Linked DNA regions of Canis lupus familiaris. The protein of the gene in region 7 interacts with the protein of the main gene of each other region in a pairwise test. Links are inferred from orthologs where the notes say so. Each region holds a gene or a part of one and is shown on either strand. Other genes may lie near its edges. The genes, in order: AP2B1, LMO4, DLGAP1, SNAP25, CYTH1, KIF5A and ITSN1.

Region 1 (4,083 bases), on a different chromosome or scaffold from region 7:
AAGAAAAAGAGGCCAGAAAAAAATTAATAGGGTCAATTTCAAATGGCTCTTTGGGAAATAGCACCTAAATTAGACTTGGAGAGGCCACTAAATCCCTTCTTTTACAGAGTTAGGCTTTACACAGTTTGGTGCTCATAGCGAAAAACTGGCTGGAGTTAACCCAATTAGAGAGCAAAATGGTCATTCAGACATCTTTTATTACAAGGGTGAGACTCTGAGATTTCAAATATTCCAATAATTAGATATTTCAATGCAAAGGTAATAGTGCCTTCCATTATCATTTAGTTCATAAAAAATCACAAGACATCTAATTACAACAGACACCTCTGCAATTTCTTTTTCTTTCTTTCTTTTTTTTTAAGATTTATTTAATTTAGAGAGAGAAGGGATGCTTGGGTGGCTCAGCGGTTGAGCATCTGCCTTTGGCTCCGGGCGTGATCCCGGAGTCCCAGGATTGAGTCCCACATCAGGCTTCTTGCATGGAGCCTGCTCCTCCCTCTGCCTGTGTCTCTGTCTCTGTCTCTCTCATGAATAAATAATCTTTATTAAAAAAATTTTAGAGAAAAAGTGCATGTGAAAAGCAGAGGGAAAGGGACAAGCAGACACTGCTGAACCTGAAGCCTGACATGAGTTTGACCTCATGACTCAGAGATCACGACCTGAGCAGAAATCAAGAGTTGAAGGATTAACCGACTAAGCCACTTAGGCACCCCCACATTTGTGATTTCTATTTAACTATGGCAGGCTACATAGTAATGTTAATATTATACAATAAGAAAGAAGTTCTAAAGTTTTACATCAGATTTTTTTTTAAGATTTTATTTAAGAGAAAGAATGAGCAAGGGGCAGAGGGACATGTAGACTCCTCACTGACCAAAAGTCAGACACGGGGCTGGATCCCAGGACCCCAAGGCCATGACCTGAGCCGAAGCCAGATACCCAACAAACCGAGCCACCCAGGTGCCCCAAGTTTTACACCCAATTCTTAACCGAAATACCAAAACCCTGGAAAACTTAAGCCTATAAGAAGGAAGAAAGAAGAAGGTATGGTATCTAATTCGCTTTTTGCTCAGCTTAGGTCAAACCTGTGCATAAAAATGTAGTATCTCAAAATATGGATGTTTAAGGGGGGGGGGGGGGGATAAAAAAAGATGAAGTAGGCTTTTCTTGAGTCTCTCTTAACTCACAGAATGTTAGCTTTTGTGTTAATTTTACCACCCAACTTTCCAGTGAGGCTGTTTACAGAACACACTATCCTTTCTGCTTCCTTGGGAGTTTAAATTGTTAAGATACCTGCAAACAGTTCTCACTTTACCACCATGCTTAGTCATCACTGGAATGTGTTACACGTTTTCTTGTACAGCTGCATCTCCTCCATCCGCTGCTTTCTATTACTACTCTTAAGTGTACCCTGAGGCTAAGCAATACACTTCCAGAAAGGTAATTAAATCATTTAAATTGTTCCTCCTTGAGACCACCTTCTTGGTCATCCCGCCTTTTCTAAACATGTGGCATTTTCTTTTTCTTTTAAACCGAAATGATCATCAAAACAGTATCTGGCATTTAAAACACACTTCTTGGGGCGCGTGGGTAGCTCAGTCAGTTAAGCGTCTGCCTTCCGCTCAGGTCATGATCTCCAAGTCCTGGATCAAGCCCCACCTCGCGCTCCCTGCTTGGGGGGGGGGGGGGGGGGGGGGGGGGAGTCTGCTTCTCCCTCTCTCTCTGCCTCTCCCCCTAGCTTGTGCATGCTCTCTCCCAAATAAATAAAACCTTTTAAAAAGAAATGTTAAAAATAAGACACACTTCTTTAAAAAAAAAAAAAGAAAAAAGTTTAATGAAGCATCAACACTTGATGCACACTGCTCCAGAAAGAAAAGGCCAGGTGAGTTCGATAAAAGCCTCTCTCCCCAGGTAGAAGACTGCTCTGAAAACAAACGGCACAAATTAATTCTTCGGATTCAAAGAACATGGAAATAAACAGGACATTCCGGTTTCTTTACCTCTACAGCACTTCTCAAACCAGATCATTCCAGCTGAGCCCGGAAAGAAAAAAATTCTGGGCTAAGATTTACCCCTACTTGCTTCCTCTTCTCTTCTCTTCCCTCCAGCGTCAGGAATTCCTCTTCTGCCCCCACCCCGGGCGGGGGGGGGTCAACATCGTAGGGATGTAGTCCTCCATTACGAGGTGGGAGAGAGGTGTCGCTTAACCCCGAATTACGGGAAACTGGCGAGTTTTGCCCGTCAATGGACAAACCTGTGGGGGAATCCCGCTCCCTTTTTCCTTAGCTGGGCATGTCCCAGCCTCAGAGGGGACGCCAAGCGGGGAAGACGGAACATCTCTCGCCTTCGGCCTCTACTGGCCGCACCCCGGCCTCCGGCCCTAACCTCCGACCTCGAACATGATCTTCCCTCCGGTGCCCCCGACTCCCAGCAGCCACACCCGAGGATTCCCTCGCCACGACAGAGCGGCGGACTCCCTTTCTCCGACCCTCTTCCTCACAACGGTCACACCCGACGGCTCACTCCATCCTCAACGGTCACGCTCCTAGGATTCCCTCTTCCCCCTGCCAGCCTCCAAGGCAACCTGGGGTCCCCCCCCCCCGCAATCAATGAGGGACACACCCCGAAGTTAGCCGCCTCGAACTCACCGGAGGCAAGGGCGGGGGTGGCGGCAGCAGCCAGAGAGCACGGCCCGAGTGGTGTTGTAATGGTTTCCTGCACGTCACGACTCCTTCTCCAGGTCTAAGCCACTGCGCAAAACCCACTTTGCCAGGGACAAAGATGGTGGACAGGAAACTCTGACGTCAGAGAACCTCGCCGCGAACCGTCATCCCCGCGCGCGGGAGAACCTGAACGGCGGCGAGCTCCGTAGCCTTGGAGACAGGCGGGTTTCGCTTGGAAACCGGAGGCGGGACGCCCGGGCCAGTGGCTCTGCAGAGGGATGTATGAAACAAGCTGCTGTTCTCTGGACTTGATTCATCACACAGGCGCTCCCTAAAAACTCTCACATAGAAAAGGTGAAATATCCTGTCTTTTTATTTAAAAAAAATTTTTTTTTATTTTTTATTTTTTATTTATTTATTTATTTTTTTAATTTTTTTTAAAGCTCAGTTAATGGGCAGCCCGGGTGGCTCAGCGGTTTAGCACCACCTTCAGTCCAGCGCCTGATTCTGGAGACCCGGGATCGAGTCCCACGTCGGGCTCCCTGCATGGAGCCTGCTTCTCCCTCTGCCTGTGTCTCTGCCTCTCTCTCTCTCTGTGTCTCTCATGAATAAATAAATAAAATATTAAAAAAATAATAAAGCTCAGCTAATTTCGCAGGCCAGTTCAGGACTGTGGACAATGGTGACCCAGCCCCGGACTGTCCACGGGCAGTGGGACCAAAGGATAGTAGTGAAAAGAAAACAGGTTGAGATGGCATCAAATCTGAGTCCAAATCCATGCCACGAAAATGACTGATAAATCACTTAACATCTCCTTATCTGTGAAATGAAGCCAATGATCTAATTCTGTCCGGCTTGTGAAGTTTAAATGAGATCAAGTAAGTAAAGCACCTGGCTTACAATAGGCGTGCTTACACAAAAGTAAGTTGCTTTTGGAAACCAAGACCTAGAAATCTCTGTACCCCCACCTCAATCTTGCTGTGAACTTAAAACTGCTCTAAAAATAGTAAGTCTTTGGCTAAAAAGAAAAAATGGAAAGCAAGAGAGCCTGGGACAGAACTTGAAACCAAAATGCAAAAGGGACTGCAAAGTAGAAAGGGAGAAGGAAAAGCAGGTGGTTAAAATGTTTTAGCATGTTTTTAGAGTTCTTTTTTCTTTAGATTATTTATTCATGAGAGAGAGAGAGAGAGAGAGAGAGAGAGAGGCAAAGACACAGGCAGAGGGAGAAGTAGGCTCCATGCAAGGAGCCTGACGTGGGACTGGATCCCAGGTCTCTAGGATCAGGCCCTGCGGCAAAGGTGGCGCTAAACCACTGAACCACCCACCGGGCTGCCCCTATTTTTAGAGTTCTATAAAGTAGGAACTATACCAGTCTGTTCACTCTATCTCTGAGACCTAGCCCCCTCCCCAAAATTTATTG
Region 2 (3,942 bases), on a different chromosome or scaffold from region 7:
GAGGTGGTGGGAGGGGAGGCAGGGGACGCGAGGGAGGGGGTGCGGTGTGTAAAGTTGCGAAACTGGTTTTTCGTATTTTAAACAGCACCTTTCACATGCCATTGTGGTGACCGCCATCTCCCATTATTGTTCCAAATCTCATTTCATTTTGAAGATCAATGAGTGTTTTCTCTGGGTTTTCAGGACACAGGCAAGAATAATAGATCATTGAACTTTAGGATGCCTGTTAACTTCCTATACAAACACTCTCCACTTTGGTCTCACTAATCTGCCCTTGATCAGCAATTTAAATGCTAAAGCTTTGTTCCTCCAAAGGGGGGGGAGTGTGTGTGTGTGGGGGGGGGGGGGGGGCGACGTTACAGATAATATGCGAGAAGGCACTATTAAGGGATGCACAAGTTATATTCGAGCCAGTCCTGCTGTCACCAAAAACTGCTTTTAAAAAAATTCCCCACTCTTTCTAATGAATGTCACGAGAAGCAACTGGGGTATAATATAGGAATCAATTTATAAAGCTTAGCCTAAACCGATTAATTTGTTGCCTCCAATCCTGAGTCCAATAAAGTCCTAGTGTTCCTCCAGTCACTTATTCTATAAAAAGATCAAGTTATTTACTGCCAATTAAGCAGCCTGTTTTGTCTTTGTCCTCTGTAAGCCGAGAGTGGAGGCTCCCCCCGAGGCTCCCGGCTATCTGCTCAAGACATTCAGCTGATACCTCAGAAGGGAGAGGGCGAACTTTGCCTGTCCCCGGCCCAACTTGGCTGCTGCAAAAAAAAAAAAAAAAAAAAAAAAAAAAAACAACCAGGGGAAGGGAACGAAACAAGGACTCGGGTTCCTTAAATAGGCCGATTTTAAACACATTTCCTCCGAAAGAGTCCCGGAACGTGTGTCCAGTGACCGCACAATAAACCAGAATAAGAACTGCACCAATTAAGCTGTAACAAAACCCTGAGACTTTGGAAACAGGACCACTCTAAAACCCATTAGCATTGCATTTATCCGAATGCATCATACCTTTATGTAAATTGATTTATCTGATGCATTTACTCGAGGAATTGCTTTTTGTTACAATTTCAGCCCTAACCCAAATGAATCTGCATTTCCTGCCCGAGGTCTTTAAACTGTTTCCCCCAACGTTTTAATCGCTCCGAATTCCTTTTTAAAAGGGGAGAGGGAGGGAGGAGATTCCAAGCTCTTCCCCGCCCCCATCTTTGGTGAGAGGTAAATATATATGTATATTTTTTTCGAAAAGGAAACATTACACTGAGAAAAGCATCCAGTAACCCCATTAGCTAAAGCTCTTAAGGACAAGCAATACCTTAATGCTGATTAAATCTAAAAGAGATGAATCAAGAGGACTGACCAGAAACTGACTCCCCTGATAACTAAGGACGGGCCCTCATCAAGTTTCATTTAGAGTTGGAAAAAAAAAAAAAAAAAAAAAAGAAAGCTTTTAAGTTAAATAGGCTTATACTCTAGTAATTACATAGCCAAGCAATTTAGGTCCTGGGATAGTCAGTGAAATAGAAAGCAGAACTGGCAGCTAGAGGCAAAATCTGCCCCCCTTTAACAACGTCTCTGGTGTTTTTTAATGGAGACCAGGGGAGGGACAAACGTAGCGCTGGCAATTTGTAGTACAAAAATGGATGCTTAATTCATGTCTTGATTTTAATTAGGTGATTCACCGGATTTCTCCTGGATTGGAACAAAAGACTTATAAGCCAAGAGGAATTTTTGAAAAGAACCAGCAATACTGAATCCTGCTCACTTAGATCCTTTCTGCCACTGTTTCAAAAATAGTGTTTACTGGGGGGCTGGGGGGGGGGGTCGTGACTATTTCCCCCACACTACTTCTCATACTTAAACCCTCATTTAAGCACCTCCGGCCTTTCCCTTAGGAACTGAAAATACCCCCCCACTACCACACACACACACACACACACACACACACACACGCACACACGCACACACACCCCTCCCCACCCTCCCAGGTCCCCAGCAGCCCCGTCTCCAAGAAGAACCCTTTTGTAAGCAGGAACCGCTACAAAGCTGGCGGCCCGGGGCCGGCTGCCCTCCGTGCTAGCTCGCAGGCCGGCCTCGGTAGTTTCAGACTCGCGCATTATCCAAGCCGACGTATTGTTTACTTGCAATTTGGGACGGTCAAGGGAAGGAAGCCAAAGAAAACAGCCCTGGCCCACATCGGCCCCCTCCTCCCTCTGCCCCCCCTCGCCCGCGGCTCCCCAGCCGTCCCCTTACCTGCTTTTCCCCTATATTGCAATACTGCGAGAGGCGGCGGCGGCGAAAAGCGAGCGAAGCCGCTCGGCTTCCAAGGAAGGGGCGCCTTGGCTGGCGGAGCTGGAGGGAGGGGGGATGTTCTCGCAGAAGCAGGAAAGGGGAGGAGGGGGCTAAGGGCTGCTTTTTTTTTTTTTTTTTTTTTTTTTTTTTAAACGCGTCGCCCTGAGGCTGGGTCGGGGGGCCCCGCCGTAAGCGGCAGGCGGCCGGGAGCTGGAGTGTCAGGCTGAGTCCTCCGCGTCGTCCTCCGCCTCCGCCTCCGGCTCCGGCTCCGCGCGAGCAGCTGCAGGAGCCCGCGGCCCGCGCGGCGCGGCTTCAGGCGCGGCGCAGCGGCAGCAACTGCTGCAATCGCTGCTGCAAGTTTGGCAATGTGGCTTCACTTTGTATATGCCCCCGCCCCCGCCCGCGCGCCTCCCGCTCCTCCTCCTCCTCCTCCTCCTCCGCCTTCCTCCCTCCCGCGCGCCCGCCCGCCCGCTCGCTCGCCCGCTCGCTCGCTCGGGGCCGGCGGCGGGCGCTCGGCCGCGCTTCCTGCCCCTCCAGCCGGGGAGCGGCCGCGGGCACCAGAGCCCCGGAGCGGCGGCGGCCGGCGCGGAGGCCGGGAGCCGGGGAGCTGCGGCCGGCCGGGCCCGGCGCGCTGGAGCCTGCGCCGCTGCCCGGGCTGCTGCTGCTGCGGCGGCCGCCCGGCTCGGAGGAGGCGGCGGCGGCGGCGGCGCTGGCCTCTAGCCGGCTCGCTCGCTCCCTGCGCGGCGCTTACACATGTGTTACTGACAGAGCCGAATCCCAACTACTCCCCGGCTCTGCCGCCGACGTCAGCGACCCTCAGCCACTGGGCGGCCGGGTTGTTCAGGCGGAATAATAAAACCTGCCAATCCGGGGCAGGACAAAGGGAGGACTGGAACGAGACTCCGCGGGCGGGGGAGCGGGGGAGGCGGCGGGCGGAGACGGCCCGGCCGGGGGCAGGTGGGCGGCCGAGCCCCGGGGACCCTCGCGGGACCCCCGGCGGGACCCCAACCCCCTCCCGCGGGGGGCAGGATGGAGCGGCCGGGGGCGCCGCTCCTGCCCGCGCCGGCGATCGCGGGGACCCGCACCCGCGCGCCCCTCGGGGACCCCCCCCCCGCGCGCCCGCGCGAGCCCCGCAGGAAACTTCTCGTCTTGCTCAAAAATGGGTCCCCTCCTGTTGGGGAGGAAGAGTCTCCCCGAAACCTCCGGGCGGGGGGCTTCGCTCGCACGCAGAAGAGGTTTTGTTTTTCTGCCTTTAATTCGCGGGCGTTGGAGACGGATGAGCCCTTAGTGGGAAGTTGAGCGAGCGAGGAGGTGGGGACCGAGTCCGCAGGTCTTGCAGGACTTGGCCGCCCGGCCCCGGTCCCCCGCGTGGGCCCGAGCGCCGGCCGAGAGCCCCGTGGGCGTCTCGTAGGGGATCGTCCGAAGTCGGAGCTGAAGAGCTCACAGCCCGGACTTTGGGGGTCCAGGGGAACTTCAGGGAGGAGGGCTCGGCCTCCATCCACCCCTGCTGTGCAGGAGGAGAGGCCCGATTCCTCAAGCCCCCCGTCCCCCCCCCCCTCCCCCCCCAGACAGCAACAAGGAATGGCAACATTCACCATCCCACAGCCTCTGGGGAGGAAGAAAGGTCACGTCTAGTATAAATTTAAC
Region 3 (3,993 bases), on a different chromosome or scaffold from region 7:
GGAGGTTGGAATAGATGTACTCTTTAGCTCTCAAATTCCATTAATAGTTTCTGTGGCTTAACTCATCTAGCAACCTTATACTAAATGAGGCAATACCACTTTGAGTGGTGTTGATTATGGAATTGTGTGCTGTTTGTGAAAACTATCCTCATATTGGTGGCACCTTCTGAACACTGGGATGGACTCGGACACTGTCCTTGCCCAGTGACATATTCTCAAGGTTTGGTAGAGGCATTGTCAAGGGAGCCAGTCTTGTCAAGAGGAATTCTGAGAGCAAAAAGTTGAATTTCTCAGCAGAAGACCTTTTTTCTTGCATTTCTTCTTAAGGTAAGAGTGCAAAACAATCATGCCATGCCTTTATAGTCCAGTAAAAACCTTTTTTTTTTTTTTTTTTTTTGTTTGTTTGTTTTTTAAAGATAGTTGTACCAGGAGAGAAGGGAGAAAAAAAAAAAAAAGACACCGTGAAAAGGAAAAATATGAAGGTCCTTCTTTGGGAGGGTTGTATCTTGGGGAAAATGAAAATTACTAGATAGAGGAATTGGCCCCAGGGGTGGGTGGTGGGGGAGAAAAAGACTCTGCTCCTGACATTTTTATCCAGGGGAATCTAGGTTCAGTGAATGGAAGGGTATTAGGGAAAGACATGAAGAGACTGAGAGAGGAGGAGCGGCTTGCCTTGGGGTCTGTACCCGTGTGGGATTTACAGGCTGACACTAATTGCATTTTATTGTGTGGATGCTTCCCTCCGCTTTTCCTCCTCTTCTCTGTTGTCCCAGGTCTCTGCAGCTGTGCTTGTCAGGTCCCCAAACTGGCTCGATCTCCACCTCCTGAGAACCCAGGGCCTTATTCCCATTCTCTGCGCTCTTGGGTGGGGGTTGGCGAGTTCCGGTGGGAGTGTGGTTAGTGTTGGAGGTGGTGACAACAATTGCAATGGTGACGATATAGATCAAGTTTCCCAAACAAATAGCTTAAGGCAGAATTTTACAATAATAATAATAATAATAATAATAATAATAAACAACCCCTCTGGATAGATCTAATTAAACTCCTTCCAAAATTCAAAAGATCATTGTTGGCTTTTGTAAAAAAAAGGTGGATTTATTTTAAAATTCTGTGTGGACTCCCCTTTCCTCTCCTCCCTATCCCATATTCCCTCAGACAAAAGAGGAACACTAAACATTAATAACTCCTTGCCTTTATGTAGGCGTGCTTTTCAAAGCACTTTTTATATCTAGTATCTCAAGATAACTGGATGGAGTTGGTCGCAAGTTTGCTTCCTGATAGGAGCAGTTGGCCAGACAAATGCTAAACAATGTGCAGAGCCCAGACCGGGACCCAGAACACACCACACAACTGGCAGGTGACAATTTCTAAGCATCCATCCCTCGACATAAATGGTACCTGAAGGTACTGGCAGGAGCGTTCTTGTTGACACGATTCGGACTTCACCATGGCCTGGTCCATGTTAACCGAGGCTTTCTGGTAAACCTCCCTGGCCCGGCTCACGGTCAGCGTGGAGGACCAGGCGCTCTTCTTCAGAAGCGGCGCGTCCAGGTTGACCGGCAGGTTGGCGCAGGTGGAGCACTTGACGTCGCTGTTACTCCGGGAGGCCTTGACCGCCTGCTCGCTGATGGTGTTGTAGGCCTCCACGAAGTACTGCGAGGCCGAGCGGTCGGGGCACCTGCCCATGGTCATCACGCCCGAGGGGGCGTGGTAGATGCACACGTCGCCGTCCAGGTTGTCGTCGGAGCTCCACCAGCCGGGGGACGTGCTGGGGCGGGCCTTGGGCTCGGGGCGCCGCTCCTTGCTCTTGCTGCGCTTGCCGTAGCGCACGGGCTGCGGCTCGTCGGGGCTGGCTTTGCCCCCGTTGACGCTGCCCTTGGCCGGCCCCTCCAGCGAGTGCGACTTGGTGAAGAGCTTCTGCACCGAGTGGACCAGGTGGCGGATGCGGCCGGGGCTGTCGCTGCGGTGCTCCACGGCCGTGCGCTTGTACTGCAGCGTGTGGTAGCCGTCCCGGCTGAGCGGCAGCTGCCTCTCAAACTGGTCCAGGAGGTTGGCGGGGATGCGGTTGGCCTTGGCGGCCAGCGTGCGCGGCACCAGCGCGCACTCGTCCTTCAGCTCCTGCTGCGACGTGTAGTGCCTGCGCGGGAAGGTGCTGCTGGCCAGCGGGTCGCTGAAGGGGCCCACGCACTCGGCCTGGAAGGAGTTGCGCTGCGTGTAGTAGGGGTGGTCCGCGGGGTGGTGCTCCACCGGGCTCAGCAGGTAGGGCTTGCGGTCCGAGTGGTGCGGCAGCGAGTCACAGGCCGAGTCACAGGTGACCCCGTGGTGGTGGCTGCGGCTGCCCGATAACCCTTTCATGGCGATGACACCCCGCGGCTGGGTGAGACCTGCGGGCGGGGAGGAACGAGAGGGGGAGACGGTCAGCACTTCTCTTGAACATCGACGTTGCCCTTTGGAGGATCCCGAGGCGGAAGGAGCCCTCGCTAGCCTGCAAGGCGGTTTCAGGGCATCGTCCGACCAGCTCTCCGACCTCGGTAGGGTGGGAAAGCGCGCCGCAGCCGGGGACCCAGCGGCGGGGGGGGCGAGGGCTGGCACACCCGGGGAGGGGGCTGCGAACATGCTGAACTGATTTCAGATCACCTGAAAGCAGACCCTCTCCCTCTAGGATTCCGGTAACGGGCTGTATCGCAGGTTTGCGTCTTGCCTGTCTGTCAATCATCGAGCACGGGCACCCCAAAGGCCCAGTTTCCCCGGGAAGCCCTTGCGGATGGATCCCCCTTCCCGAGAGAATTAGTTCCCCTCGGTGTTTCCATGGCATCTGCTGCACACTCTCCCGGCTCCTATGGAACTGTCTGTCTCAGGCATTCCCGGGCTACTTCCCTCCGTTCCTTGCAGGTCGGCTTAGACCCCTTAGCCACCTTTCTGTCCCCCCCCACCTGGCCCCAGGCTGGCCGTGTAAACACAAGCTAAGCACTCCATCAGGGTAAATAAAATAAATGCGGGTGGTAAAAAATGAGAAGCGACTGGCCTCTTATAACTCGAGGATAGATCTTTCTCCCTTCCCTCACATGACTTTCCCGTTAGAATTCTGTAGTGACCATCACAGCTCGCAAATAACCGCCCCCCCCCCCCCCACCAACACCACAAGTGATTAGAGTTGAAAATAGCGATGGTGGCAAATAAATCAGAGCTGTAGAGAAAATCTGCCCTGTTTTTTTGTCAGAGGGATCAAGAGCTGCTGCTGCTGCTTCTTCTTCTTCTTTCTTCTATGTATTTATTTGAGAGAGAGAGGGAGAGCCCGGGTAGGCAAGAGTGGGGGTGGTGCAGAGGGAGAGGGAGAGAATCTCAAGCAGAGACAGGGCTAAGCATGGAGCTCGATGAGAGACTCCATCACACCACCCATGAGATCATGACCTGAGTCGACACCAAGAGTCAGTCGTTTAACTGACTGAGCCACCCAGGTGACCCAATGGCTTCTTCTTAACAGAGCAGTTGAAGGATCAGCTTGAACTGGCTACTTTGAATGTCATGGCATCTCCTTTTCCTGGTTTAAAGGTTTCTGGTTAAACGTTCACAAGCGATGGCAAGAGGGCCAAAGGAAAGGCCCTGGAAATGTTCCTGAGGACACAAAATACCTGGGCCTGAGGGTCAGATCTGCCTCAAAGAGAAGTGACTCCTACAGATCTACCTGTGGGATCCCACCTCGTTCTAAGCACAGATCTTTCCTATGCTTTAGTAGCAGAGGCTGCTGTTCCACAGGGCAGAGTATTTTCTTTTGACTCTAGTTTCTTTGGTAGCTGAGTTCCTATTAACAGCCTGATTTATTTTTAAAGCTCCCTGTAACAAAAATTGTCATGATAGGAGTTGTCCTGAAAAGACAGCATGACTGTCCAAAATATCACTAATGTCATTTCATATTCAGAGAGGGAGAAATAAATGGTTTAACTTAACAACAATCACAACAAAATAAAACACACACACACACGTGGGCTAATG
Region 4 (3,500 bases), on a different chromosome or scaffold from region 7:
GCAGGCAGGCAGCACCTACTTGTTACAGGGACACACACAAAGCCCGCAGAATTTTCCTAGGTCCGTCAAATTCTTTTCTGCTTCTTTCATGTCCTTATTGATTTGGTCCATCCCTTCCTCAATGCGTTCCAGTTGTTCTGATTAAACACAAGTATTTTATCCCCACAGAATGAAGCAGATGGAAAAGGACAAAGAAAAAAAAGACAAAACTTCAGACATTCACTTTGACATTAAAAAAGAAAAAAATTAAAAGAAAGAAGAAAAAAAAGAAAACTGGACGCCACAGATTAGAGCTGGTACCCAGTACCTACTTGTTACAAGGACATATGAAAAGGCCACAGCATTTCCCTAAATCTTTTAAATTTTTCTCGGCCTCCTTCATGTCTTGGTTGATATGGTTCATGCCTTCTTCGACACGATCGAGTTGTTCTGGTTAGGACAAAGGGATGACAGTGTGGAATGAATTTTTTTTGGGTTTCCAACAGAACATGAGAAATGACTATGTGGAACGGAATTTGAAAGAGAAAGATATTACAATGCACGATCCCAGAGGATGCATTGCTGTAGACTGCTGCCACCTTACACGAGCACAGGTGGAAGGAAATGAACAAGAAAGATGTTCAAAAGAGTCTGTAATTCGGACATGATGGGATGGAGGTACGTAGGCCTGTTTGATTCTGAGGATCCAGGAAAACAGCACAGCATAGTCACTTACTCAGGCACCAATGAAACCCGAGAGAAAGAAAAACAGGGTGTTAATGTTTTAGGAATTCAGATTTAGTGCTACTAGAAAAGGTATCTGTCTCAACTTTAAATATCTCTATTTTTTGGCTGTAAGCATCCTGGACCAGGTAAGGGTAGCAAATAGAATCAATCTTCTTTGGGGAAAATAACAATTAAAGTGATAATTAGCAATGGGTACCAGATCTTTTTTTCCCTAGCAGTGGGCTGCTCCCTAGCCCAGGGGCAGTTCTTGGTTTTGAATACTTAATTCATACAGACACTGTTAAAAAAGGAAGCAACATCAGCAGAGTAATGTTCCAAGCACTGGGACATTTAAATTCCTCTCTTCATCCTATGACTTACTTGCTATCAAAGTTCTGGAAGGCATTTCACTTCTCTGCCTCCTGATTTCCCAGTCTCTACAATGGGGGGCATGTTAGATCCCTAACTCAGGCAGACAGCAGGGAAAACAAACACATGGGTCTCTGGAGGAGGGGTGATGGGCTGGAACATAGAACAGTACGGAGTCATTACTGCCAGCAAAGCGGACCTGAGTGCATCTGAGACATAGATCGATAGCCATAAAACCAGCTCATGCTTCTAGGTTGCCAGGGTTACATTCACTAACTTGATTAATTTTTCAAAAGTTATGGCACCACACTGAGTAAATTACAAGTTCAGTGAAGGGGTTTTAAAAACAGTTTTTAAGACCGTTAAAGGAAAGCAGCAGTGCAATGTCTTGGCTGTCTAGTTACAAACCCTAATTATACTTCCATCCCTCTTTTAATCTACATTTCTATGCACACCTGTCCCTTCCCTTTAGGAATAAAAGCTTGATTAGAATAAAACTGATAAATACATTTCGAGTCTAAGGGCATAAATAATTGCTTAAAAAGAATTTCACATTAAATTGTCCAGTGGAAATTATTCCAAAAAATGAAGAAAAGTTCCTTACTGACCCAAACTGGGGAAACGGTCTATCTAGAAAACAAGAGTCTATTGTGTTTTCATTAATGGGGCTAAAGAATAGAATCCAGCTTATTTGGAATCTGCTACCTGTGCCATGCTTTTCAAATGATGGATGAAGGCAAAATTTAAATGTTTCTGCAGCATTGGATAGCTGTAGAAAATAACAGTGTTGTGCTGGTGAACTTCTATTGCATAAGGATAGGTCTAGTAATGTCTTTAAGAAAATCTTTAAAAGGACTAAAAAAAAAAAAAAGTAAGTCTTTACATTCTAGAAGATTCTGTGCTTTTACGAAGGCTTCTTTCTAGTTCCCTTTTAAGACTGTAATAAATTAGTCTATAGATAAAATTATCTATTGAATAGGGGGATTGGTAGAGAGAGAGGAGCTCAACATTGTCAAGGGAAGAACCATATTAAATACAGACAGAAATCCCAAAGGAATACTTGCTAATAGCTTCCTGAAGTGCTGGGTTGAGATGGGATTGAAGGAGCATCTGGACTCAGGGAAAACATGAGATACTCCACTAATGATAGCTGGAATACACGCAGATTATGGCATGGGGATACACAGTCAGGCATTTGTCCTTCCTGAGGAGTTTCTCTGACAACATTTCAGAAGCCCCACTGACTGTGGCCAGGGATTAGGAGGTAATAAAAATAAAATATAATAAAATAAAAACATGAATTGGTCCCCAAGAGTTGTATTTCTGAACCAGAGAATTCAAATTAAAATATAAAAACAAATGTGCTCGTCCCAATTGGTATTTCTTCAAGCTGTTCAATCATGGGTTGCCAGACTGTTAGGCGAAGGCCATAGTTAAGAGAGGGATGCTGAAGCTCTTTCAGAAAAGTTGATTCAGAAAATGATTTTATAGCTACTAATATTGGTTGAATTTATCATTTTACACAATTATAAATCAAATCCCTTAATTTAGAAAATATTGTGGGACCATTTTGTCATAGTTAATTCTAACTATTCATTTTTAGAGTGTACTGTGTTAGGCATATTGAGACTTCATGGCATTTCAATGGATTTCTGTGATGACATCTCTCAGGAATGCTTGAAAATAATCAATATCTTCATTCCAACCTAGAGTGGCCAGCAGCATCTTACTGGCTGATCCAATGTACTGTCCATAGTTGACTGCTTCTTACCTCCCTAAGCTTGTTTTCTGTTTTCTGTCTATTCTTGGAGACTGGGAGAACAATAGCATTTTGAGTTAGTAGAGGTATTCCAGTAGATTATACTATACGTTTGGGCAAGAGATTGTACCTTCTTTTGCCATATTGGGATGACTGGTTATTTATGATAGTTCCACCAATGGCAGGATACTCAGGGATCTAAGTTTAGACATCTTTTCTACTAATCTTTCTAAAGTAAGGCAACATGAGGCCCTTAGAATACTCAATCTGATTAAAAAAGAAACAAACAGTAGAAGAAGAGCAAGATGTCAATGCTATTGACCCAGTGTGGAAGCCTTTATAAGTATATTCAGTTACCAGATGCTGCCTATATGATTTTCATTATCCTTGATGAACAAATGGAAATTCATTAAATAAATTTAAGTAGCCATATGTGGCTAGTGGCTACCGTATTGGACAGTGCAGCTTTAGTTATTCATAACAGATACTGGTGTGTAAATGTTAGCAAAAGAAATGTTTTCTCAAATGCTACTTTGTAGTGCCATGAACCTTTTAAGAAAGTCAGCTGGCACTCTGGAAGAGGCCTTACTCTGCCCTTACTCTGTCAGGCAGAGGTCAAAGATTTCACTGTTTAGTTTGGCGTTGATCCCATGGGATTTTCCCAAGG
Region 5 (3,500 bases), on a different chromosome or scaffold from region 7:
ATTAACACTACCACCAGCAATTAAAAAACAAAATAACCAAAAATAACAAAATAAGAAAAACGCTGCAGCAAGTACAGTGGCCTTGGCAGAGCGAGCGAGCAGGTTGGGGGGATTACATACCTCCTGGAGTTTGGGGCAAGGAAAAGGAGAGCCAAAATCATGGAAACATACAAATGAGGGAGAAAAGAAAATTAAAACAAAGAAATTAAACCAAACTCCTTAATCTCAAAGTGCACTGTATTAGTCATTCACATCTGTCCTGGGGGAGCCAAACATGAAATCACTAGCGGGGCGAATGCCACTGTCTGGCGTGTGAATGGGGGAGCTTGTTTCATCCGCCACGCACCACCTGGCGAAGGCGGGATCTGCAGCACTACCGAAAACCTGGCCCCAAATATGCCGCAGATCCATTCTCACAAAGTGAATGTTTATTAGTACATCCAGAATCCGGAGCTAAGAGGGGAAAATTTAGTGTCTCTCTGCAGATGGCTATCACTTTTTAAGGTGTGTGTAAGAATGCACACACATATCCCCATGAATACATACGTACACATGTGTGCACACAAGAATACACATTCTTACGGCCATATGCATACATGGACATACACACACAACTGCAGATGGCTGGGAGCCCCGCCTTCTGCAGCACATAAGTACACGGGGGTGATCCTAAGTGGCTACAATGAAAACACAATATGAAGACTTAGGGCTTTGGAGGAGCTTTAGAAAAGGTAATGCAATGACCTCAAAACAAATCCCACGTTTCGTTAATTTTTTTTTCCTTTTAAAACTATGGGATGCCTCATGAATTTACATGTCATCCTGGTACAAGAGCCAAGATAATCTCTACACTGTTCTAATTTTAGCATCTGGGCTGTCAAAGCTAACACTCAGCATTAGCATTTAAACAAATTTCACTGGAGGGGAAGTAAATCCAAACTTGGATGTACTTTTTAGATTTCCAGTGGGTTTCCTTTTAGCTCGGTCCACTTGGCAGGAAAGGCGTGGAGCAGGACGGCTGTCTCTGGGGTTGGCCATTTTAGAACCTTCGCTTCAAAGATTCTACTGGCTTAGAGACGTGAGAAATGTCGGCCAACTCAAGAGATGGCCAAAGCCCCAATTGGAGAAGTGGTGCTTTCAGGAGAATTTATGAAATAATTATATAGAAACCCAAGGTCTTGGGCTACGCTCTTTAAAGGAATTATAAATCCTACTGCTACCTGAACTGGTCAGAAATTTAAGATTCCATTTCAGCACTTCTCAGGGGTGTCAGTCACAGCCGAGAGAGTAACGACTTCTAATTTCACCAGGACTAGTCGATGAAATGGTAGAGGGGGAGCACCTCCTGGTAATTAGGGAACCCATGCATCAAAAGGCCAAGGCAGAAGAAAAGAGGAACGTATTCTCCCCCCAGGGCCAAAAAAGTGCCAATTATGTCCAGGGGCTCTCTGTGTTTTGGAATAAGTAATGAAATAATCACACATGGGCACGAATGTTCCTTTTGGTTACTCTATCACCTCCATACAAGGCATGATTACAAATTTCAGCAACATAAGCTCACTTTTGGCCGAGGGAAGAGGAATATGTATATATATATATATATATATTTTTTTTTTTCTGAATGAACAAAATCATCAAAGTGGCTGATTTGGATTGGAAAGGAGGTTGGGGGTGGGGTGGGGAACCACTGCCCGAGAATGAGTAAGAGCGCTGTGGGTCGCATTGCAGCCAAGGGCTCAGGTTTGCCATGCATACTGCCTGTGGGGAGCCAGATGCAGAAGGAAGTGATGATGCACTGGGGTGGGGGGGTGGGAGCGCCAGATATAAATCTGTGTGATGGGAAGTAGAGAGATGGACACGGCTGGCCACCCTCCCAGGGACGAAGAGGGCAGAGAAAGGACCAGGACCAGGTTCTCAGGGAACTGCCTTGAAATAAAACCTGGCTAATCAACTGCACAGTAAAAATGTGGAGTGTGAACCCATGGGAGCAGTGTTTATGCAGAGTGAGTCTGCACCCAGCAGTATCTGTATATGCCGTGGGGCACTAACTATGGAGGTGGATCTCACCAGAACACTAGCACTTCATCCCAGAGTCTCTCCATAGTGCCTCCTGTCACCAACCCCACTTTCCCACAGCGCGTGGATGTGCGAGTGCACGCACGCATCCTTTCTGTTTCTGCATCAGGAGCCCTGACCAGAGTGCGTTACTTACCGAGTTTCAATAGCCAGCCTTCCCGGTCTGGATTGAAGAAAGTGTGAGTGAGGTCATTCCCATCATCTTCTGGGATTTTAAAGGGTTCGTTTTTTATGCTCTCATACAGATTCTGGGATAAAAGACGACATTGCATGTCTCTGGTTCTAGAAACATCTCTTCTCCCTCCCCTTTCTCTTCATTCATTCAGTAAGCACAGGTTATGTGCCATGATTTGTCAGGCACTGCGAACAGAAGAACAGGACCAGTTCTGCCTTCGGGCAGCTCGCAGAGACAAAATAAATAAGATGCCTAATGGATAATTAAGAAAGAAAAGAAAGCAGCCTGACTTCCTCTCACACTTTGTTTCAGACTTATAAACCACTTTCCCCTCCTGATTCCCTTGCTGGGCCTCATGACTACTTTCTTAATGGACTTTATATAATTAAAGAAATTTTACGAGCAGAGCATATGTCTCACTCTTGTCCCATGTTCACCACCACCTGGGCTAGAGTGCGCTCACCCGGAGCAGCTCCTCGGGCAGGTCCCCCCCATCATTGATGCCACGATTCATGGCGATGAACCTTTCCACAGTGGGCTTATCCTTGACATTGGGGTTGTGCAGGCTGGTGTTCAACATGATGATGGCAAATGAGAGGACGTAACAAGTGTCTAAAGAGAAAAGCAAAAAGAGGATCAGAAACATCTGGCCAGAAGGACCAAGAAATGTCCCATGAAATCAAACTAAAAGCCATGCTCTCAAAAGGATGAGACAAATCCACGCATCGGGATGCCTTCTAAATGCACACTACTGACTGCTGCTGACTAAAGAGTTCCACAAATAAGTGCATCAAGTATTCAAGACTTAAAGGTGATTATTTTTCAGATTGCAAAAGGAGAATGCAGCAGGCAACCTGGAGAACGACACAATGTGTAAAAAAGAACATCCCAAATACCTATGAACCCTCTACCTGCTAATGACTTATTTTGTTTCGTTACACAAATGTGCCTAGTGCAGCACATCACAAATGCATCTCACAGATGCACACTCTAACAACTGGAATCAAAGCAGAAAGATAGTTTTGATCCTGCTTTTTTGCTAACCTTATCAGCATTTTCCTCATGTCAATAAAGCCTCGTCTTAAATACAAATTTTTTGTTTTTTTAATTCTTTATTATTTTTTAAGATTTTATTTATTTATTCATGAGAGACACACACACACACACAGAGAGACAGAAACAGAGACAGAGACACAGGCAGAGAGAGAAGCAGGCTCCATGCAGGGAGCCCGTCATGGGACTCGATCCC
Region 6 (3,500 bases), on a different chromosome or scaffold from region 7:
GAGCATCTTCACAACTTATTTCTCTTTGTGGATTCCGGTTTTGGGGTTTCAAAGGCTTTTACCAAAGAGAGATCAGACAAATATTTCAGGTAGATTTTTTTTTCCCCATAAGCCAGACTTTTCAAATCTCTTAAATATTAAAAAAATATATCTACTAGTTTTCCTTTATGCAACGAAGTAAAACAAAGGAAACAAAATGAAACACACATTAAGAAATTAAGAAAAAATACTTGTACATGGTTTAAAAATAGAAACAATCCAAGGGCACTGGCTGGCTTGGTCAGAAGAGCATGCAATTCTTCATTTCGAGGCTGTGAGTTTGAGCCCCCCCTTGGATGTAGAGATTATTAAGTAAAATAAAACTTAAAAATTTAAAAATATATGTAAGTGGGACACCTGGGTGGCTCGGTGTTGAGCATCTGCCTTTGAATCAGGGTGTGATCCTGGCATCCCGGGATCAAATCCCATATTTGGCTTCTGCATGGAGCCTGCTTCTCCCTCTGCCTGTGTCTCTGCTTGTCTCTCTCTGTGTCTCTCATGAATAAATAAATAAAATCTTTTAAAATGTGTGTGTGTGTGTATACACACACACATATATATGCAAGCCAAGATACAAAATGTAAAATAAGGGATCCCTGGGTGGCGCAGCGGTTTAGCGCCTGCCTTTGGCCCAGGGCGCGATCCTGGAGACCCGAGATCGAGTCCCACATCAGGCTCCCGGTGCATGGAGCCTGCTTCTCCCTCTGCCTGTGTCTCTGCCTCTCTCTCTCTCTCTCTCTCTCTCTCTCTGTGTGACTATCATAAATAAATAAAAATTTTAAAAAATGTAAAATAAAAGACTTGTCTCTCTTCAAAGTAATCATTGTTAACATTTTTTGTATAATTCCTTCTAGAAAAAAGTTCTATGTATAGATGGAATATTATGAATATTCCTAGAGCCGTTATCTCCAGCTCTGACCAATTAAAATTTTATGACTTCCTTAATTAGTTGAAACATGTCTCCCCAACTCTGGTGACCATAGACCTAGGAGCTTTACATTTCAGTTGGATAAAGATGGGGTCTATAGTAAAACAACTTGACAACTAAGTCATAATCTCTTTATACTGAATGGCAGGAAAACATGACTGAGAAATTTGTCATTTGTGATGGAGAACAAGCATAGTCTTATTTAATCTTACCAGAAAAAAAATCTTACCAGAGATCTGCACTTTAGTATGATTACATAGTGAATATATTCTTTGTTTGGTTCCCCAGGTTTTAAATATTTTGTATCTTTAGCATGCTTGTTAGCACATGATTTGTAACATAACCTAAATGAAACAAAGTACTTGTAGGTCAGTAATTTGTTTCAGTATCTCTTTGCTAAAAGGAGGCCCATGATTCTGATTTCATATATTTCTTTCACGGAGAGAGAGCTTGTGTTAATGTTTGAACAACAGCTCAGCATCTTGGTGTACCTGTATTTCATTTACACAATAGGGAACATAACCGACATGTGCCCCTAACTTTGCATCTTTCATTTAATGCATCTTGAAGATTCGTCCGCATCAGGACATATGCATCTATTGAGGAAGATATTTTTAAACCTAGAGGTAGATTTTTAATGTTAATGAATTGTCTTTCACTCTTCACGGCCTGCGGCCCTACTGTCTTTTCCCATTGGTTTCCCAGGGAAAGGCCTGGAGTGGTGCAGTACTAAGTCATCACACCAAGACTGAGATCCCCTCACACAGTCTGAGGCTGTGACACTTCTCAATGGTGCTCTCTAGCGCACAGGAACAGCTCCTGGTGTCAGCACCAACTTTTGCTCCTCTTTGTCTGGTTTCCTTCATCCCGCCCCCCCCCCCCCCCCCCCCCCCCGCCCCAAACTGTCCGTGGATATAGATGGCTGAAAAACAGGTACCTTCTCAGGCTAATGGAAGGGGGCTGCAGCATTTCTTCTTCCTCATTTCCTGACTCCTGATGTCTGCCATGTTTTATTTCCATTCTAGGGGAAGCCATATGTCTTTGACCGTGTGTTCCCCCCAAACACGACTCAGGAGCAAGTTTATCATGCGTGTGCCATGCAGATTGTCAAAGGTAGCATGTATTATCTTTGTAAGATGTATTTTTAGAATGTATATTTTCTGGTTCCCCATTCCCTACTCCACTTCTTTCCACCAATGCTCTTTCTTGGCTATGTCTTCCAGATGTCCTTGCTGGCTACAATGGCACCATTTTTGCTTATGGACAGACATCCTCAGGGAAAACACATACCATGGAGGTGAGGGCTCTGACTTTCATGAGGGGTGAGGAACTGTGAGTGTTAATGAGAGGCCAAGGAATCTCAGGCAAGATCTAGGAATCAAGCTTGCTTGGTCTGGAGGATGAACTGAGGGGCAGGATTATAATGGAAGCTTGGTGAAATCCCTCTAGCCTGCTGCAGTTTCCCATCCTTTCCACTACTCCAGTTTGCTTCTTTTGATCCAGAAAAGCAGCTGCAATAAAGGTCCAAAGGGACCCTCAGTTCTCTCCTTGTTCTCGGTAGACATGGCAGTGACTGCCTTGTACCTTCAGATGATCCTCTCATCAACTATCACCTTCATGTTCACCTGTTGACCTCTTGGGTGGCCTCATTGTTTTGAGTTCCAGTCTCAGTCTCAGATACTCTTCCTCTCCAGGGAAAGCTGCATGACCCCCAGCTGATGGGAATCATTCCTCGAATTGCCCGAGACATCTTCAATCACATCTACTCCATGGATGAGAACCTGGAGTTCCATATCAAGGTGATCACGGTTTAACAGCTGGGTGTCGTCAGAGAGGGACTAGGAGGAGAAGAGCTAGTATGAACTCATTGAGAACCTGGGCACCCCAACTTATTTTCCTGCCCTGCTTACCACAGTTCTTCTGCTCTATTTCTCTTCCTCCTACTGGTTGAGTGGGTCACATTCACTTGAGATCCCTATATCAGACTTATGATAGGCCCTCTTCACTTTCTCCCTGACCAGGTTTCTTACTTTGAGATTTACCTGGACAAAATTCGCGACCTTCTGGATGGTGAGTGGTGTTTAGCCCCATTGGATGGGCAGGGGTGGGAGGAGAGCAAGGAAAAGAAAGATCACATTGTTCTTGGCAAGAGATGCAGAGGAATCACACACTCATACCCCTGTCCCTTGCCTCCATTCACCAAAATTTCTAAAAGCAAAAAGGGTCAGAAGATGAGCTGAAATACCTAGGCCTATATAGAAACACCCTGAGACCAGCTGGAACCTTAAGGCTAGAATCCTGGAGGAGGAGAAATTTAAGCTTTCAGGGTGTGGGGATTTAAGCTTGATGGGAAAGTCTTTCTCCTTTTTAAAAATTTAATTTATTTGTTTGTTTGTTTGAAAGAGGGAGAGGGAGAGAGGACACAAGTTGGGGGTAGGGGGGGCAGCAAAGGGAGACAGACAAACAGACTCCGCACTGAGTGCAGAGCCTGAAATGGGGCTCGATCTCATAACCCTGAGATCATAACCTGAAC
Region 7 (3,926 bases):
AAATTATAGGAATAAAAAGAAAGCAGGGGTGGGTGTGCAAAAAATATCCAACCTGGGAGATTCAGGGGAAGGGAACTTCCCGACTCTGGCTTCTATAAATGTAAAGAGAGATGCAAATGGAGATAAAACCCACAATCAAAACCTGTAAGGACCAGGAAATGGTCAAGTCTTTCCCGCCCCTCGGCGGCCTCAGCTAAGCTAGGCCTGGGCCCAAGAGGGTCTGGGGTTGGGGTGCAACGCGACCCACCACTCACCCCAGGGCTGCACGGTTCCGCGAGGCGTCCAAAGTCCAAGGCCCCGCTTCCAAAGACACAGAATCCAGGTCCGGGGACTCACCTGCCTCCGAGGCGCCCCAACGGCCTGCGTCTTCGCCACCGCCACCTTGGAGTCCTACTGCAGAGGGCCCGCCCCCGCTGGCCCAGGCGCTGCTCCCATTGGTCAGGCCTCTCGTCACTTCTGGACCGGAGGCTGTGGAGAACGCCATAGCAACCGAACGCAGAACTACATCTCCCAGAATGCCCCGCCCGGACGAGACGCCCCGGGGCTACCAATAAAAGGGCGAAGTTGTAGTCTCACGGATGGGTTCCGTTTTATGCAAATTTCTATTAAAGACCACACCCTTCCTCATTCCAACCGTTTGCCCTACCGCCTTCCTTGGGCAGTGACCCGCCTCTTTTTCCGCCTCCACGTTGCTCTCTCCCTTAAAACCTTTTGTAATTGACTTAGGTGGATACAGCTTAATAAGTGCCTCGCAGGACAACGGACGGATGCACCCAAACCGGTGCAGCTCCAGAAGGCGGGTCAGGGAAATCCCAGTCCAGAAGGTTACGCCTTCTGGGAAGGGGGCGGGGAGAAGTGACAAGCGCCCGCCCACCAACCCCCTTTGCGCGCTCGCTGATTGGTTCACGTGGCTGTCACTCCGTGCTCTTCCATTTTTTTTTTAGTTGCCCCCGCCTCGTTCCCGCGGTGGGCGGGGGCAGCGGCAGGGGGCGGTGAGGAGGCGCGAGCGCCTTCTTGCGATTGGCGAGTGCCGGCTCCCACCCATCCGTGGGCGGAGATGGTGGCCGGGACGGGGGCGGGAGAGGCGGCGGAGGGAGATGAGGAGATAGGTGGGAGCGAGGGAGCGAGGGAGGGAGCGAAGGAGGTAGAGAGGAGCGGAGGAGAGGGGAGGGAGCGCAGCTTGGTTGCTCCGTAGTACGGCGGCTCGCGAGGGAGAATCCCGAGCGGGCTCCGGGGCGCACGGGCGCACGGGCGGGCGGGGATGGTGTGCGGGGCTGCGGCTCCTGCGTCCCTCCCCGCGGCGAGTGAGCTGCACTGATTTGTCCCTGGGGCGGCAGCGCGGACCCGCCCGGAGATGAGGTGAGGAGCAGGCTGGACCGGGCGGCGGGGGCGGCGGCGGCGGGGGCGGGGGCGGGGGCGGGGGTCGGCGCGATGGCCGCCCGGGGCGCGCGTCCCTCGGGCCGCCCTGCAGCCTTCGCCCGGGAGGCGCGGCACCCGCCGCCCCTGCGCGTCGTCCTTCCCATCCTCCCGGGGGCGGCGGCGGGGCGGCCGGTGGGGCGGCCGGTGGCCGGCGCGGGGAGGCCGGGACGCCGCGGCGGGCCGAGCGGGTGGCGGCGGCTGCACGGGCTGCGGGCTGAACGCGCGTCCGCAGCCCCGGCCGGCCGAGCGGGGCGCCTCCGTCCGCGGGGGCGAGGGGGCGTCCGGGCCGAGCCTCCCGGGGACCCGGCGCCCGCGGGCCTCGAGCCCCCGGCTCATCCCCTCGTCTCCGTCGCGCGCCGGTGAAGGGCAGTCAATGCCGCTCGGCCCCGAGGCGCCCCGCCGGGGGTCCCCCTCCGCCGCGAGCGCGCGTCCCCGGGGTCCGCCGCTCCTCCCGGCCGCCGCCTCGCGGTGCGGACCCCGCGGGGCCACCGCTGCGGTCCCTGCTCGCCCCAACGACGACCTGGGACCGGGATCCGCAGGAAAAGGAACCCGGCCCATGGGGTGCACCTTCCTTGACTTCTCCGTCTGCCTCGGGATTAGAAAACAACTTCGCAGATAACATTCCCGACGGGCATCTTTTGTTGTGATTTCGGACTGGAGACGGGCTTTGCTTTTGAAGAAATAAATTCGCGTCTTTTCAGAATTAATTAATTAATTATTATTATTTTTTTGATTGCCCCGCTGAGTGGGAGGCGGTGGAGATTTCTGATAGCCCCTTAATATGAAAGTTTCCCTTAGAACTTTGTCATCATCACTGCTATTCTGAAGACAGCACCAGCCTGAAATTTTAAATATATGCGCACTCCGGACAGATGCCGTCTCTTTGTGCTTATCCCCGGGCATCCCGCTCTCGCCGTTTCCGTGGTCAAACGCGCAAATGATAGAAGCAAGCACAGTAAAAAAGGACAGATAATAAAAACAAATGCATCTGGGAAAAAAAAAATCTCAATTCCGTTGACGGAGAGAGGCAATGTCACTAATCCCTTTGAACGGATGAAGAACACACAGGCTCAGAGATCTCATGCATTAGGCAGTGGACAGGATCTGAGGTTAGGAACTGGGGCCAGGACCCAGCAGGCCAGCTGGTTCGCGAAGTGCCACTCTCAACCCCTAAAATGGGAGGGATGTATTTGCCTGGATACCTTTATTTTTAGCTGATGTAAGGTTGCAGAAGCTTAAATTTCTCTCTTCAAGGTTAGGATTTCTACCTGTTTATCTCTGCAAACAAAATGCTGGGTTTTTTCTTTAAAAGATTTTTTTTTTTCCCTTCTAGTTTACATGACACATTTATGTTGCACTCATGGTGTTTGTTTTATAACTAAAAATGTACGTCCTTGTAATATCCAGGGGAAATTTTTTTTTTTTTTTTTTTTTTTTTCTGTAGGAGGTTGGTAAAGAACCCAGGAACTTTTTTAGGTAATCTAAATTGGAAATGAAGGGACACTAATTTAGTGGTGGCATTAAAACTATTTAAAAAGCATTTCTGATAGAATTTTCTTTTAAATGGCGTTTCTTTATCTAAGAATGTGTTGAAGTTGCCGAGGCACATGGCACCTTCACAAAACTCTATGATTATTATTCTGCCTGAGTAGGAGAGGAAATGAACAAATTTTTGATGTACTTTGGAACCCTGTGGATTGTTCAGATACTAAGCATTGTGAAATAGGGCATAAAATGAGTAGTAGCAAGTTAGTTCCCTGAAATGTTTGTCCCTCTTAGCATTTTTTTTTTCAATTTACTAGAAATTTCCTTTTTCTTAATGCTTATCTCTTCTGTTGGTAGAACTCAAGTTCATCTTTTCAGCAAATGCCTAGTTTGAGGAAAATTCAAATATCCCATAAGATGTTAAGGGGGAGGTGCTGGTAAATTGCTCCATTCTTACTCATCTTTTTAATTTGCTAGATTTGTGAATGACACAGAATTAATTACGTGAGGGTTGGGTTTATGTTACTTGGTTCAGGTTTCACTGCCATAGCACTAGTCTCTTTGGAATGATCATTTTCTTCTGAATGGCTCCACTTACTGGTGGGTTTCTCAAAGTCTGGACCTCAGATCATTTAGATCAGCATTAAGTGAGGTTCTTGTTAAAAATACAGGTTTTTTTTTTTTTTTTTTTTTTTTGTCACCTTACTTCAGAATCCGATTCCTGGAGATGGGACCCTGGAATCCGATTTTTAAACAAGTTCTCCAGGAATTTCTCTTGGAATAGAAAAGTTGGAGAACAGCTGGCCCTGTGCTTTCCTTCTCCTAAGACCGTCCCCTGAAGTGGATAGCAGATTTTAAGTAGCAGACTAAGTTTTATACCTTAGGCTGCTAATAAAAAATGGACTACGGGGATCCCTGGGTGGCGCAGTGGTTTGGCGCCTGCCTTTGGCCCAGGGCACGATCCTGGAGACCCGGGATCGAATCCCACATCAGGCTCCCGGTGCATGGAGCCTGCTTCTCCC

Evidence for each region.
Region 1: the proteins of ITSN1 (region 7) and AP2B1 interact in binary tests that used the Homo sapiens proteins (3 or more experiments, as listed by UniProt). The link is inferred for Canis lupus familiaris from reciprocal best matches to the Homo sapiens genes ITSN1 and AP2B1.
Region 2: the proteins of ITSN1 (region 7) and LMO4 interact in binary tests that used the Homo sapiens proteins (3 or more experiments, as listed by UniProt). The link is inferred for Canis lupus familiaris from reciprocal best matches to the Homo sapiens genes ITSN1 and LMO4.
Region 3: the proteins of ITSN1 (region 7) and DLGAP1 interact in a two-hybrid assay, tested with the Homo sapiens proteins (2 studies listed by BioGRID and IntAct). The link is inferred for Canis lupus familiaris from reciprocal best matches to the Homo sapiens genes ITSN1 and DLGAP1.
Region 4: the proteins of ITSN1 (region 7) and SNAP25 interact in a two-hybrid assay, tested with the Homo sapiens proteins (2 studies listed by BioGRID and IntAct). The link is inferred for Canis lupus familiaris from reciprocal best matches to the Homo sapiens genes ITSN1 and SNAP25.
Region 5: the proteins of ITSN1 (region 7) and CYTH1 interact in a two-hybrid assay, tested with the Homo sapiens proteins (2 studies listed by BioGRID and IntAct). The link is inferred for Canis lupus familiaris from reciprocal best matches to the Homo sapiens genes ITSN1 and CYTH1.
Region 6: the proteins of ITSN1 (region 7) and KIF5A interact in a two-hybrid assay, tested with the Homo sapiens proteins (2 studies listed by BioGRID and IntAct). The link is inferred for Canis lupus familiaris from reciprocal best matches to the Homo sapiens genes ITSN1 and KIF5A.

What each region holds. Positions count from the first base shown.
Region 1 is NC_049230.1:38,042,700-38,046,782, forward strand, and holds the start of AP2B1 (AP-2 complex subunit beta), read right to left. Parts: upstream 2,801-4,083; 5' UTR 2,649-2,800; intron 2,454-2,648; exon of another isoform or gene 2,073-2,453; intron 1-2,072. UniProt on the Homo sapiens protein: Component of the adaptor protein complex 2 (AP-2). Adaptor protein complexes function in protein transport via transport vesicles in different membrane traffic pathways.
Region 2 is NC_049227.1:61,435,912-61,439,853, forward strand, and holds the start of LMO4 (LIM domain transcription factor LMO4), read right to left. Parts: upstream 2,801-3,942; 5' UTR 2,257-2,800; intron 181-2,256; exon of another isoform or gene 89-180; intron 1-88. UniProt on the Homo sapiens protein: Transcription cofactor. Plays a role in establishing motor neuron identity, in concert with MNX1, acting, at least in part, to disrupt LDB1-LHX3 complexes thereby negatively modulating interneuron genes in motor neurons.
Region 3 is NC_049228.1:70,475,038-70,479,030, forward strand, and holds the start of DLGAP1 (disks large-associated protein 1), read right to left. Parts: upstream 2,801-3,993; 5' UTR 2,717-2,800; coding exon 2,638-2,716; intron 2,385-2,637; coding exon 1,399-2,384; intron 1-1,398. UniProt on the Homo sapiens protein: Part of the postsynaptic scaffold in neuronal cells.
Region 4 is NC_049245.1:12,476,510-12,480,009, forward strand, and holds part of SNAP25 (synaptosomal-associated protein 25), read right to left. Parts: intron 658-3,500; exon of another isoform or gene 430-657; coding exon 312-429; exon of another isoform or gene 138-311; coding exon of another isoform or gene 20-137; exon of another isoform or gene 1-19.
Region 5 is NC_049230.1:3,543,606-3,547,105, reverse strand, and holds part of CYTH1 (cytohesin-1), read right to left. Parts: intron 2,864-3,500; coding exon 2,715-2,863; intron 2,325-2,714; coding exon 2,213-2,324; coding exon of another isoform or gene 2,212-2,212; intron 1-2,211. UniProt on the Homo sapiens protein: Promotes guanine-nucleotide exchange on ARF1, ARF5 and ARF6. Promotes the activation of ARF factors through replacement of GDP with GTP.
Region 6 is NC_049231.1:2,000,984-2,004,483, forward strand, and holds part of KIF5A (kinesin heavy chain), read left to right. Parts: intron 1-1,992; coding exon 1,993-2,080; intron 2,081-2,190; coding exon 2,191-2,264; intron 2,265-2,661; coding exon 2,662-2,766; intron 2,767-2,988; coding exon 2,989-3,037; intron 3,038-3,500. UniProt on the Homo sapiens protein: Microtubule-dependent motor required for slow axonal transport of neurofilament proteins (NFH, NFM and NFL). Can induce formation of neurite-like membrane protrusions in non-neuronal cells in a ZFYVE27-dependent manner.
Region 7 is NC_049252.1:28,830,322-28,834,247, forward strand, and holds the start of ITSN1 (intersectin-1), read left to right. Parts: upstream 1-1,126; 5' UTR 1,127-1,359; intron 1,360-3,926. UniProt on the Homo sapiens protein: Adapter protein that provides a link between the endocytic membrane traffic and the actin assembly machinery. Acts as a guanine nucleotide exchange factor (GEF) for CDC42, and thereby stimulates actin nucleation mediated by WASL and the ARP2/3 complex.